Linked DNA regions of Oreochromis niloticus. The protein of the gene in region 3 interacts with the protein of the main gene of each other region in a pairwise test. Links are inferred from orthologs where the notes say so. Each region holds a gene or a part of one and is shown on either strand. Other genes may lie near its edges.

What was found.
Region 1: the proteins of bbln (region 3) and thap11 interact in a two-hybrid assay, tested with the Homo sapiens proteins (2 studies listed by BioGRID and IntAct). The link is inferred for Oreochromis niloticus from reciprocal best matches to the Homo sapiens genes BBLN and THAP11.
Region 2: the proteins of bbln (region 3) and atp6v1d interact in binary tests that used the Homo sapiens proteins (3 or more experiments, as listed by UniProt). The two-hybrid records come from large-scale screens. The link is inferred for Oreochromis niloticus from reciprocal best matches to the Homo sapiens genes BBLN and ATP6V1D.

Annotation. Positions count from the first base shown.
Region 1 is NC_031965.2:22,654,983-22,658,511, reverse strand, and holds thap11 (THAP domain-containing protein 11), read right to left. Parts: upstream 2,614-3,529; 5' UTR 2,584-2,613; coding exon 1,753-2,583; 3' UTR 603-1,752; downstream 1-602. UniProt on the Homo sapiens protein: Transcription factor, which has both transcriptional activation and repression activities. Also modulates chromatin accessibility.
Region 2 is NC_031980.2:14,225,995-14,229,749, reverse strand, and holds the start of atp6v1d (V-type proton ATPase subunit D), read right to left. Parts: upstream 2,284-3,755; 5' UTR 2,089-2,283; coding exon 2,048-2,088; intron 203-2,047; coding exon 85-202; intron 1-84. UniProt on the Homo sapiens protein: Subunit of the V1 complex of vacuolar(H+)-ATPase (V-ATPase), a multisubunit enzyme composed of a peripheral complex (V1) that hydrolyzes ATP and a membrane integral complex (V0) that translocates protons.
Region 3 is NC_031972.2:20,471,918-20,475,672, reverse strand, and holds bbln (bublin coiled-coil protein), read left to right. Parts: upstream 1-1,300; 5' UTR 1,301-1,541; coding exon 1,542-1,620; intron 1,621-2,401; coding exon 2,402-2,673; 3' UTR 2,674-3,315; downstream 3,316-3,755. Other genes in the region: surf2 (surfeit locus protein 2), read right to left, coding at 1-119, 596-670. UniProt on the Homo sapiens protein: Essential for intermediate filament organization in intestinal cells, interacts with intermediate filament and regulates intestinal lumen morphology.

The DNA.
Region 1 (3,529 bases), on a different chromosome or scaffold from region 3:
TTCAGTGGGTGCTGGATCCAAACAACGGTCACAGCACGGGTTTATAAACAGAGCCACAAAAGCAAGTTAAAACTCTGACATGCAAAGAAAAGAAAACACACAAAGAAGATCCAAAAACTCTGATATGTTCTTGACGTCCAGCCTGGACAATGAAGTGAAATATAAAGCGGTTTTCTGACCACTCAGAATTTAAAATTCCTGATAGAAGTAATACTTCGCATCCTGTGAGCTAAAGAGAGAGATTTGTAGACCTAAAGTCAGCATCTCTGTGATGCAGAGCTATTAATCTGCACAGAATATCTAACTTGTCCATCTGTGAAGACACCACTAATGCTAAACAATGATGATGATGATGATGTAAAGTGCCCTGCCTGCAGACCAGACCTGTCACCCACTCGCGACAAATTCAAATCCAATTAAATTTTGGGTGTGAATAATTTTAAGATCACTGCACTTTACGTGACGATTGTAAACTGTAAGGTTTCCAACACAAGTCTTTTATAAGTTTATTTCATACAAATTTTATTATTTTGTCCACAACTCAACACAGCTGAAAAATATTGTAATATGACTTACAAGAGCCACTGCAAATCTTCATCTCATTTTATTGTTTTTTCTAAAACAAACCCCTCAGCTGCAGTCTGGAGATGAGATCACATGAGCCAAACCCCCCCAATATCAATGAAGGTTTAAAAAGAAAACAACAGAAACACTGTCGGATCCTTTTTTCCCACCAGAAGTCTCTAAAATGCTGCTATGAGACAAAATGCTTGTTGGCTTGAGAAATAACTTGCCAGTCTTAAACAATGAGCTGCCAGATCAGCTTCAAAAATATGAAATGTTTGTAATATCCTATGCTTAAAACACTGATGAACAGGACAAATATGTGGCCACTAATCATCTGCGTGGAAAATAGTGAAGAGGCACGTAAAATGTTTAAATAACACCAAAAAAAAGAAAAAAGAAGCACGTGCTGCTTCCCAAAAACTATGGAAAAAACGTCCCCAAGAAGCATCCTTTAATAACAATTCATTTTAAGTGCCCTTTAAAGCTTTGAGGAACTTCTTCAAGTCTTTTTTTTTTCTTCTCAGTTGCAAAAATACTTCTAGCAACAAAAATAATGGAAATAATCTTAAGGTACCTTTAATGGTAACTCTGAAACAGTCGTGGTAGAGTTTTATTTAGTTCACTACAACCATAAGCAGGCCAAGATTAGTGTTTTGGTTAAAACAAAATCCTATAGATACTTCATCTTGGCGCATTTTTGCATGTTATTGTGGGGTGTTTTTGTTTTCCTGTTTTTGCAACAAGAGCCTCCTAAACTCAGTTGGAAAAACAAAACAAAAACAGCTTAAGGACAAAAAACACTTTATGCAGCTAGGCAGTTTTGAGCATGTTCCTCGCCGGTGTCCCCTCAGTCTGTCCCGTCATAAATAAGTCAAACATGTGAGTCTGTGCAAACTACGAGTCTCATCTGAATGGATTCATGTGATCTTGGTTTGGCTGCAGACCAGAGGCGGACTGTGCATGTTTCAATGAGAATAGCAATAAGTTTATTACTATCAGCTACATCAACTAGCCAGCCTACAAAAAAAAATAAACACAAATAAAATAAAAATCAGCTCTACTTGTTGAAAATAAATTGTCATCGCTCTCAGTTTCGTAGAAATCGGGGCTGGATCTGCTGTCTCCTGCTCTCCGTCAGTCTGAGTCTGTGTAACGGCTCGTCTCCGGGGATGTTCACCCATCCCATCAGATTTTCTTCCGAACGTTAGCAGCCACCGTGTTGCCGTACAGCAGCCGGTCCCGTTCCCGCACTTCCTCCTGCAGCTTGGCCTCCGCCACCCGGAGCTGACGAATGGTCGCCTTCATCTCCTTCATCTTCACCTCCATGAGCGCGATGATGTCCCGCTGATCGTTCAGCTTCCTCAGCAGCTCGGCCGACGTGGTGCCGGTGGTCAGAGAGTACGAGTGGTCCAGCGGGCTGCTGGTCACGCTGACATACTGCACGGGTGCCGCCGCGGATGAGGTGTCCGCCTGGGAGTCGCCAGCCGTGACCTCGGCTGCACCGCCGACCTGCCCCGTGTAAGAAGTCCCCTCCGTTTGGACGGGCAGTCGCGCGGTGCCCAGGTACTCCCCGTTTTGGCCTATCTGCACCACGGTGATGCTGTCATCGCTCGCCTCCCCACCTGCGTTGGCCTCGGCTCCTTCTGCGGTGCTGCCCAGCACGGTACTGGTGACAACAATCCCGGAGGTCGCAGCTGCGGCGGGCGCGGGAACCGCCGCGGACACTTTCCTGCCTCTGCCCCGCCGACTTCTGCGCTCATTCACCCCTCGCAGAGGGAAGAGGGACGGCACTCGGATGCTGTAGGTTTTCCTCCCGCCGGCGAAATGCACGCTGCAGACTCGGTGCCCCGTAGTCGGCTGGAAGGTGCTGAAGCAGCCGCTGACCCCGGCCCGGGAGATGTTCCTCAGCCACTGCTCTCTGAGTGCGGTGTCCTTAGGAAACGTGTAGAAGCGCAATTCCCGGTCCCGGTGCGAGTTGTTGTAGCAGCCGGGGACACAGCAGGTGAACCCAGGCATATTTACTTCAGCGCCGAGGCTAAATCTGCGGCCTTCGGGTGAATTTAAGATTATTTTATTTTTGTTTCTTTATTCTATGCTATGTTATCAAGCTCGGCGGCCTGCAAGCGGAACTACACGTCCCACAACGCTAACAACTTCCTGTTTATTTTTTAGCAAAAGTGAGGCGCTCTCCTTCGTACGACGACTAAATACACCCGAGATTAGCCGGCCGCGGAGCACACGAAGCTCTTGCATATGCTGAATTCACGGCTGCTGTTTTATTTTCAACGGTAAATGTTTTGTCTAGTTCTTAGCTCTGTTATCAGGGTAATCGTCCCCCACTGAGAACTAAAAGTCCCACAATTCCTTGCGCTTCCTGTCCATAACCGTTAGTGATATAACGCCTCTGCTGGTCAGTGTGTGTAATGACACCGTTCGAGTAGGCGTGTGTGTAAAGAAAATACTATCAACGTGTTAAAAAAAAGCAAAAGAACTTAATTAATTATTGATCCTTTAAAACAAACGTATGTGCAATCAGAAATAGCCATGGAGAATAACACACGTTTTTAGATGGACCAATTTTATGAAATTCAAGGCTAATAATTTAATGTTCTGCTTTTTCTTTTGGCTTCTCCTTTTAGTTTTTGCTATAACAGATCATCTGCCTTTATTTCACCCTATCACTTTTATCCCCCTTAATCACACCATCAGCCACTGTCATCAGTAAATGTCATTTTGTGAAGTCACCGTCAATAATAGAAACAGTGTATCCCCACCAGTATAAATATCTAATCAGCTTACATCTAATAAGTATCCACAGAAGGTGTATTGTATTGAATCTTTATTTTGAACATGTTAAAATATAGGAAGAAGCATAATCTTATTTAATCCCACACCCTTTCCACTATTTAGTAATTAATAGTCTACACTTTTTCTTCCTGTTTATACCCTGTCCATCAGAAAT
Region 2 (3,755 bases), on a different chromosome or scaffold from region 3:
TGATGTATGAATAAAGTATTTATCGCATCATCTGTTCTTTCAGACTGTATTAGGACCAAAAATGAAGGCTCATGTTAAACTGACTTCAATAATTTTGCGAAGGATCTGACGGAAGCGCATGGAGAGGGCATCGGACTTCTTCTTGAGCAGGTTGCGGCCGGTCTGTGCTCCCTTCAGCCGAGCCTTCATGATGGTCTGAGCCCTGCAAATCCAGAGAAACCCACATATTTTTAACACTCTATTTGAATCAGACAGTTAAATTAGGGGTAAAATGACACAACCAAGTTTCATTCATTTCATCTCCTTGTCATGTTTTCACTCAGACCTTAGGCCATCCCAAGGTCTCTGTCTCTCTTCCCTGGTAGTTGATACCCTCACCCCAGTTTTTTTTTTTTTAACCGGCATTTCAGATTTTCCTCTTTTCTCTCTCGACCTCTATGCTTGTTAAAGCTCTTTTTTTTTTTTTTTAATGGATTTGCTTCTAATTTTCCACATTTCATCATTTTATGTCATATACTGGTTCAATGGGTCATCTCTGAAGGACAGGAACAGCCTTAAAAACATTATTAAAGACGTATACTCCAAGAGTACCAAGTCCAAAGAAATGTGTAGTTCAGAAAGAAAAGGGTCTTATTAGTCAAGGTGGCCACATTCTCTCTAGTGAGTTTATTTCAATGCCCTCAGGGCAGGGCTATCATGCACCCATGAAGACAAAAAAACCACTACTGAAACTCCTCTGTTCCCTCTTCTATCAGGCTACTAAATGCTAATTGTCAAGAGTAGTAGTTTGTTCTGGAGCACCAGTGTGGTTCACTGGTTTTAGCAGGCAAACCTGTATATTATAGGGCTATAGTGTGGAGGCCTGGGTTCTAATTCAACTGGCCATTTGCTGGCTTACCTTAAAAAATGAATAAGTAGTAGTATCTGTTCTTCTCTTTCATCTAGCTAATGCATAAGTCCATGTGTTGTAGTTCTGGTGGGAGACCTTACAATGAGCTCCTGACAAGTTGAATTTTATCTGCTAAATAGCTAAGTAGTTGTAACTCACTTGTTATTGACTGCTCATTGACTTTTCATTTAAATTATCATGACTGATAACTTTCAATTTAAATAAAGGCTAAATAAAAATTTCCAAATCACAATCTTTCCCCAGCTCTTTCCAGACTTGAGCAGGTGACTCATATGCAATAAGGCTGCCTTAGGCCTGCGCTGGAATTTAACATGGCTCCATAGTGTAAAGGTTAGAGATCCCTGGATTAAGACCAGATAAATATGGGGATCCATCCTCTGTGGAGCCCTCTTTGTGAATAAGGGAGCAGCCGAAAACATACAGCCATCAACATTCAAGCCCACTTTTGTGTCACATTACTCACAGATTGTTACATGTTAGATTGTTAACGATGTCATCCTGATCGTCTCTAATATAAATTTACTACGTTGCTCTATGCTGAATCCCTTCCCATCCTGGAAGAGAGATCCCATTGATTTTCCTGAGATTTCTTCTGTTTTTTACCATTTCAGAATTTTAGAAATTTTCAGAATTTTCAGAATTTTTTTTCGGGAGGAGATCTTATCTGAACCAAGAGTCTACGGACAGAAGGTGTTACATGCTGTAATTTGTGTAATAGCGTTATTTTTAAAACAAGGTAAGGATCAACACAATCTGCACCACTCCTCTACATACACAGCTCACTGATATTTGCACCCAGGAGCTGATGAAAGGGTCAAACCTCTGTGTTATACTGTTTCAGTGGTCGTAAATCTAATATAACTGGATGCAGGTGAAATTAGGTTAAAATGAAGTCGCTCCGACTGACAGCTCACACTTGGATAATGTGAGAAATATCACATGACAGCAGAAGGATTCTTCCTCTTTTAAACGGTAACCTTGGCACAAAACAAAACGGCGATCCCTGCTTTTCAAATGCATGCAGAAAATTATCCACAACTTTCATATATAAAAGCAAATATGTCAACAAAACAGTGGTATATGAGCTTTAAGGAAGCTACATTGCTTTAGCAACTAGCCATCGCACAAGCTGCTTACATTCTGGAGGGGAATATGTCGATCCTGTCTTTTCCAGACATCTTTCCGTTTTTTGTCGATTACTGCGATTTTCAGTTCACTCCCGCTTCCCTAAATCAACACTACAACTTTAGCTTGAATCCTGAATTATTAATCTAGACATATAACAGCTAAAATCTCGCTCTTCGTGTAGGATTAGAAGAGCAGATCGAGTTGACGGTCGTGATCTTGTCGGCGATGATCAGCTGGCCCTCCGCGTCATGTGACCAAAGAACCAATCTCGTTCCGCACATGCGCGCGTGTGGAAGGTCCCTACGATCTTTTCCGGGTCGACAAATTAGCACACCCATGAATGTGAGCTAGCGGGCCTGAGTTACTCATTAAAAAAAACAAAACACCAGAAAGAAAACCGAATCTGACATTTAAACAAAGTCAGCACGGAACATTCAGGCGCGTCGTTCTGTAACCTTATGACACAGGTGAGTTTGTTTTATGAAGATGTCGTTTGGCGGGGACTGGGGAACGATCGGAACTGGCAGATAGCCGGCTAACAGCTTAGCCTGCGTGTGCCGCATGTGAGCTGGGCACCGGGTTATTAGCTGGGAAGCTAACTGATGTTGAAAGAAAGCGTTTCTGCGCTTGAATGAACATTCTTCTCGTGGTTTTAAATGTGATAACTAGGAAGTCATACAGTCGCTGGTAACACGTACTAAATATTTGGTAAGCAGCTTTTTGTGTCCATATTTTGTCGCCGATTCTCTATTTTAAACAGTAAGTGATTTTTCTGCGATGATGATGCGTTACATCAGTCCATTCACAGCAACAGGGGAAAAAGACAAATGGCAGAAGTTTGTTTCATTTCCCTGCTTTTATTTTATGTCCTGGATATTTGTATATAAGCTAAACCTGGGCTTTGACTTTTGTTCAGTGGGAAAACATAGAAACACAGATAAGTGGCTCCATTCAAACGGACTGGGACTTTTCGTTTAATATTAAAGGTATCTCTCTACTATTTTGTCCACACCTTTCTTGATAGTAGACTAAGGATTAGAAAGAAAACATCTTTATGGCCAAAGTCTTTTTACAGGTTAAAGCCTCTAAAAATGACCGCAACTAATATTTTAAAATCTGAGTAAAATAGAAAAAATGATACTTTTCATTACAGTGTTCTTCCATAAACGGATGTCTTTACTGGTAGCTGAATATACTTCATGAACAGGCACTGCAGTGTATAGTTAAAATACTCTGATGTAGAAAGGGATTGATGTTAATTGGCTGACTGCAGCATTTTTCAAACTCAGAGTACTTGTGGTTGCTGACATTGTGTCCCAGTTGCCTGTCTGTGGCCTGCATACCCATGATATCACATCAAGGTGGTTATCATCACAATAAGTTAACACACAGTTTATCAACTCTCAAAGAAATGGACTAGCCATATACCAGCCCAGATAGTGGGTCCTGGAAGATGAGCCGACTCTGACCCACCAAAGAGGCATGGCATTCGTAGTGGTTTACACAAGAGGAAGGGAGGAGACGACTATCACTAGAGGATGATTTATATGTAAATGTTAAACAGAGGCACAAGATACAATATCTAGAGTCTTAAATCAGGAGTGTTGAGATCAAAGAATGGGAAAACAAAGGTGATAGGATCTAAGGGTCAAACACTCCAGGGGGTAGGCTGCTGTCCTCAGGTTACAGGGACAACAGGATGTTGAAAGCAAAAGAT
Region 3 (3,755 bases):
TACTGGCTGTAGTTGAACTCAGCTGCAGCACTCAGTTTCTCATATTTCTTTCCCTCAGTGAACTTCTGCAGCTCGGCCAATTTGCAGGGAAACTCGTGGCCATTTAGAGTACATTTGATCTGAAAAAGTACAAAATCGAAGGTATAAATAGGGCGTTTTTATTGGCGTTAATGTTTTGGTCAGTAGAGGTCGGTGGATCAATCCAAATATCGCTAGCATTGATACCAACACTGGTACTGGCATCAGACTGATACTAGTGCAAAAGGATCGATACTTTCTTTCTATCCTCTAAGATCAGTATGTAGCTGATTGTATTAAATTGATGATAATTCTCATCATAAATCATGACACACTGCTCTCCCTGGGATAAGCTGCCTTTATAAGTTCGAAGTATCGGCGATACTGGCTCTGTATTAACTTGTTACCTGATCGACACCATAAATGGCAGTATTGCACACCGCTGTTGGTCAGCACTCTTTACCAATCACAACATCAGAACACCTGGCTCATGCTAGATCAATTTGCAGGTTAGCATCACGTTCGACATCAGCTCACACGAAGTGCACGTGTGACGTGGAGAAATCTGCTCGCTAACCTTTTTACCGCCTGTGAGCTGAAGAAAGGGGTGATTCAGGAGGAACTCTCTGAGGTCCGCAGGTAACTCATCCATAGTTTAGAAACACTTCAAAACAGCTCGTTCAGCGTGTTGACGACGACAACGCTTCAACAAGGAAGCTCCCAACACGTGGGCTCACTGCGCAGACTCTGTTGTGTGATCTTGGCGCCATCCAGCGATCAAATCAAGTAAAACCCATCTTACACGAAGTTAGCCATTCACCTCTCTCATTTGGCATCAGGCGATCCTTTTATCGAACAACCGGTGTGATTAAACAAACGCAGACAATTGTCTGCAAGAAATAATGTACACGGTCCTTGATATACTCCCCTCCCCCTTTTTGCTACCTTTAAGAAACTAAACCTTAATCGACTTAAGGTGACGACAGAGCCCAGTCAGCTGACTGCAACCATCTGACAGGTCAGAGAGCATTACGGAAGACAGACAGCCCACTCTGCTTGGTTTTCATAAAACTACAGAGTAGCCGACATATGAGCGCATGCGTGAGCTTTGAATTAAAGTTCATAAACCAGTAAAGTAGACACCTGTAAAAGTAAATAAAACTATTTTATAAATCTTCCTAGCATGGCTAGTTTAGCACATTTGTTTTACTCGACTAGTCACTGGAGACTGTGGACAGAGTGAGTCATCTCGCTTTGGAACCAAAACCACGCCCACATTTCTCCCACAATTCCCTGGTTCCGTAAACAAATATCGGAAGCTAGTTGTTTGAGATGTCGTGCATACTGTGAATTAAAATCTGACAATAGAGCTAAAGTAGAACCCAGAGAGCGCTGTTGTTGTTACTTACAATTACATTAAGAGCGTTTAGTAATGTTACTGAGCTAGCTGGCTAGCTTAATAGCATAACTGACGATATTTAAGGTTCCTACTGTTTCTTAAGTACACGTATATATATATAACAATGTCTGGACCAAATGGAGATCCAAACATCTCTGCTGACGATGGTATTATAAACGACGAAGATGATTTCGGCGAAGAAGGTAAAACAACAAAAGCTTTCATTGTAACTAATGCTAACAATCATTAGAGCAGCAGGGCCGCTCCAGTGATTTTTAGGTTAATTTTAATTACGTGTGGAGGTATTTGTGGGCGTGATTTAGTTTTAAATAAAAAAGACAAGTCGATCCTTAATACTTTAGTAGGAATTGATGGGGTAATTAGCAGCCATGTTCAATGAATTGAAGCAACTGTAAAGATTCATGGGCCAAAGTTCCTCCAAAAGAATGTAGGACACTGAGAAGGTCATACAGAAAACAGTGACTTCTGCTTAAGGGCTTCCTAAAAACTGTTGAATCATGGGTTGTGCTTAGACCTGCACAGAGTCAGAAAATGTTCTGAATAGGTGTCACAGTAACTACACTCAACATCACTTCATGTAAACATCCCTGCCTGATTAAACACCCGCACCAGTGCCTCTTCGTGGCGGTTGTGTTGTCAAATAAATGTTGACCTTCATTTTTTCTTAAGTGCAGTTAACTAAACTGGTTTTCACATCTGCCTCATTTTCAGTTTTAATTTTCTTTAATAACCTTGGTGATGAATAATGGACTGTTAAATTGGTGGGATGTTATTTTTTATTTAAAAGAAACAAAAAAAAAAAAAGGTAACTGAAGCCAAAAACTGTCCATTTTCATAGCATTATTGTGTCTTTCATTGATAACAATATAAATTTATATGATCTAAAACTGTTAAACTCTTTATTCAGTCGTTGCTCTCTAAATTGCCAAACAAAGCAAACTAACCTGTGCTGCTCATCCACAGAGTACTCTGCCATCAACAACATGCTAGATCAGATCAACTCTTACCTCGATGACCTGGAAGAGCGTAACGACGCTCTTAATGGCAAACTGCACGAACTGATGGAGTCAAATCGGCAAGCTCGACTGGAATTCAGAGCCCAGTTGTTGGGCCCCCCAAAGGAGGAGGATGTGGAGGAGCACTGTCCCACAGCAGATGGGGAGTCCTCCTCAACCAGCAAGGAGGACATAAACGAGGATAAAGAAGGCTTGCAAATGAATGACATGAATATTTAGATCAGGAGGTTAAATTAAGGAAAAAGCCGGGATAGATATATTATGAATGTTGACTCAACTCCTGAAAGCTGTCATTTGGACTAGTGACCCTTTATCTTCATAGTTGACGCTCACATCAGCAGGCGTGTGCAATAGATTACATCTCTTCCTTTGCAGAGCTCATTCCGGTTTCTCCTTTGGCAATGTGCCGATGTTCTGGTAACTAACCTCAAACAGCTTCTCATGCAAGCTGGATGTTACATCAACTTCTTTAATTTCACTGCAGACTTTATAAATCTAAAGCCAGATGTGCCGCATTGTATTGGGTAGAAAAGGCTCTGTAGAGATTTGTACAGAATTATGTGGGAGGTCACAATGCCAAGTCCTAAAGCAAGAAAACGACTAAATATATATTTTTAAAGTTGGTATTAAAACATGGTCTTTGATAAACAAGGTTCAAACTACAGGATCAACCTTAAATCTTTCCAGATTCTGGAGCTAAATATTGTTTTGATACAGATTTCATATCAACAACTTCTCAAGCATTTGAGTCAGTCCTTGTTAAACAGAGAAAGACTCCAATTGAACTTCCTCAAGTGTTTCATTGCATTATTAGCTTTGCAATTCCTATACTCTCCCAAAAAGTAAATAGGAAGCATTCAACACTCATATGTATTATAATGCTTGTTGTGCATCCTAACTGTAAACGCTGTGCTTTGTTCAGTGTCTGTTAAGTGTGAGCTGTAAAATCAAAAAAACGAAAAGTTGGAATTATGAGACATTTTTAATATAAATTAAGATGACTCCCAAACAGAAAACAAACATCCAAAAATACAATAAACTTCCAGCAGTTAGAAAACATCACCAGTTTGTTCATCTCAATTTGTCAGTAGCTGAATAAAAATACAATAAGAAACGTACAGCTTTGTTTGAAGTCATCCTTTACATGCCCTTTTTTTTTGCCTCTCCCTCTCTCCGTTCTGTTTCAGAGCTTAAAAGCACAGATTAGATCACGTCTCCTTCATTCAGAGAGAATACAACACTAATCATGTGACAGTCGCTGACGTGACTACAAGGGTTGCTACGTGTGTCAGTCAGTCCTC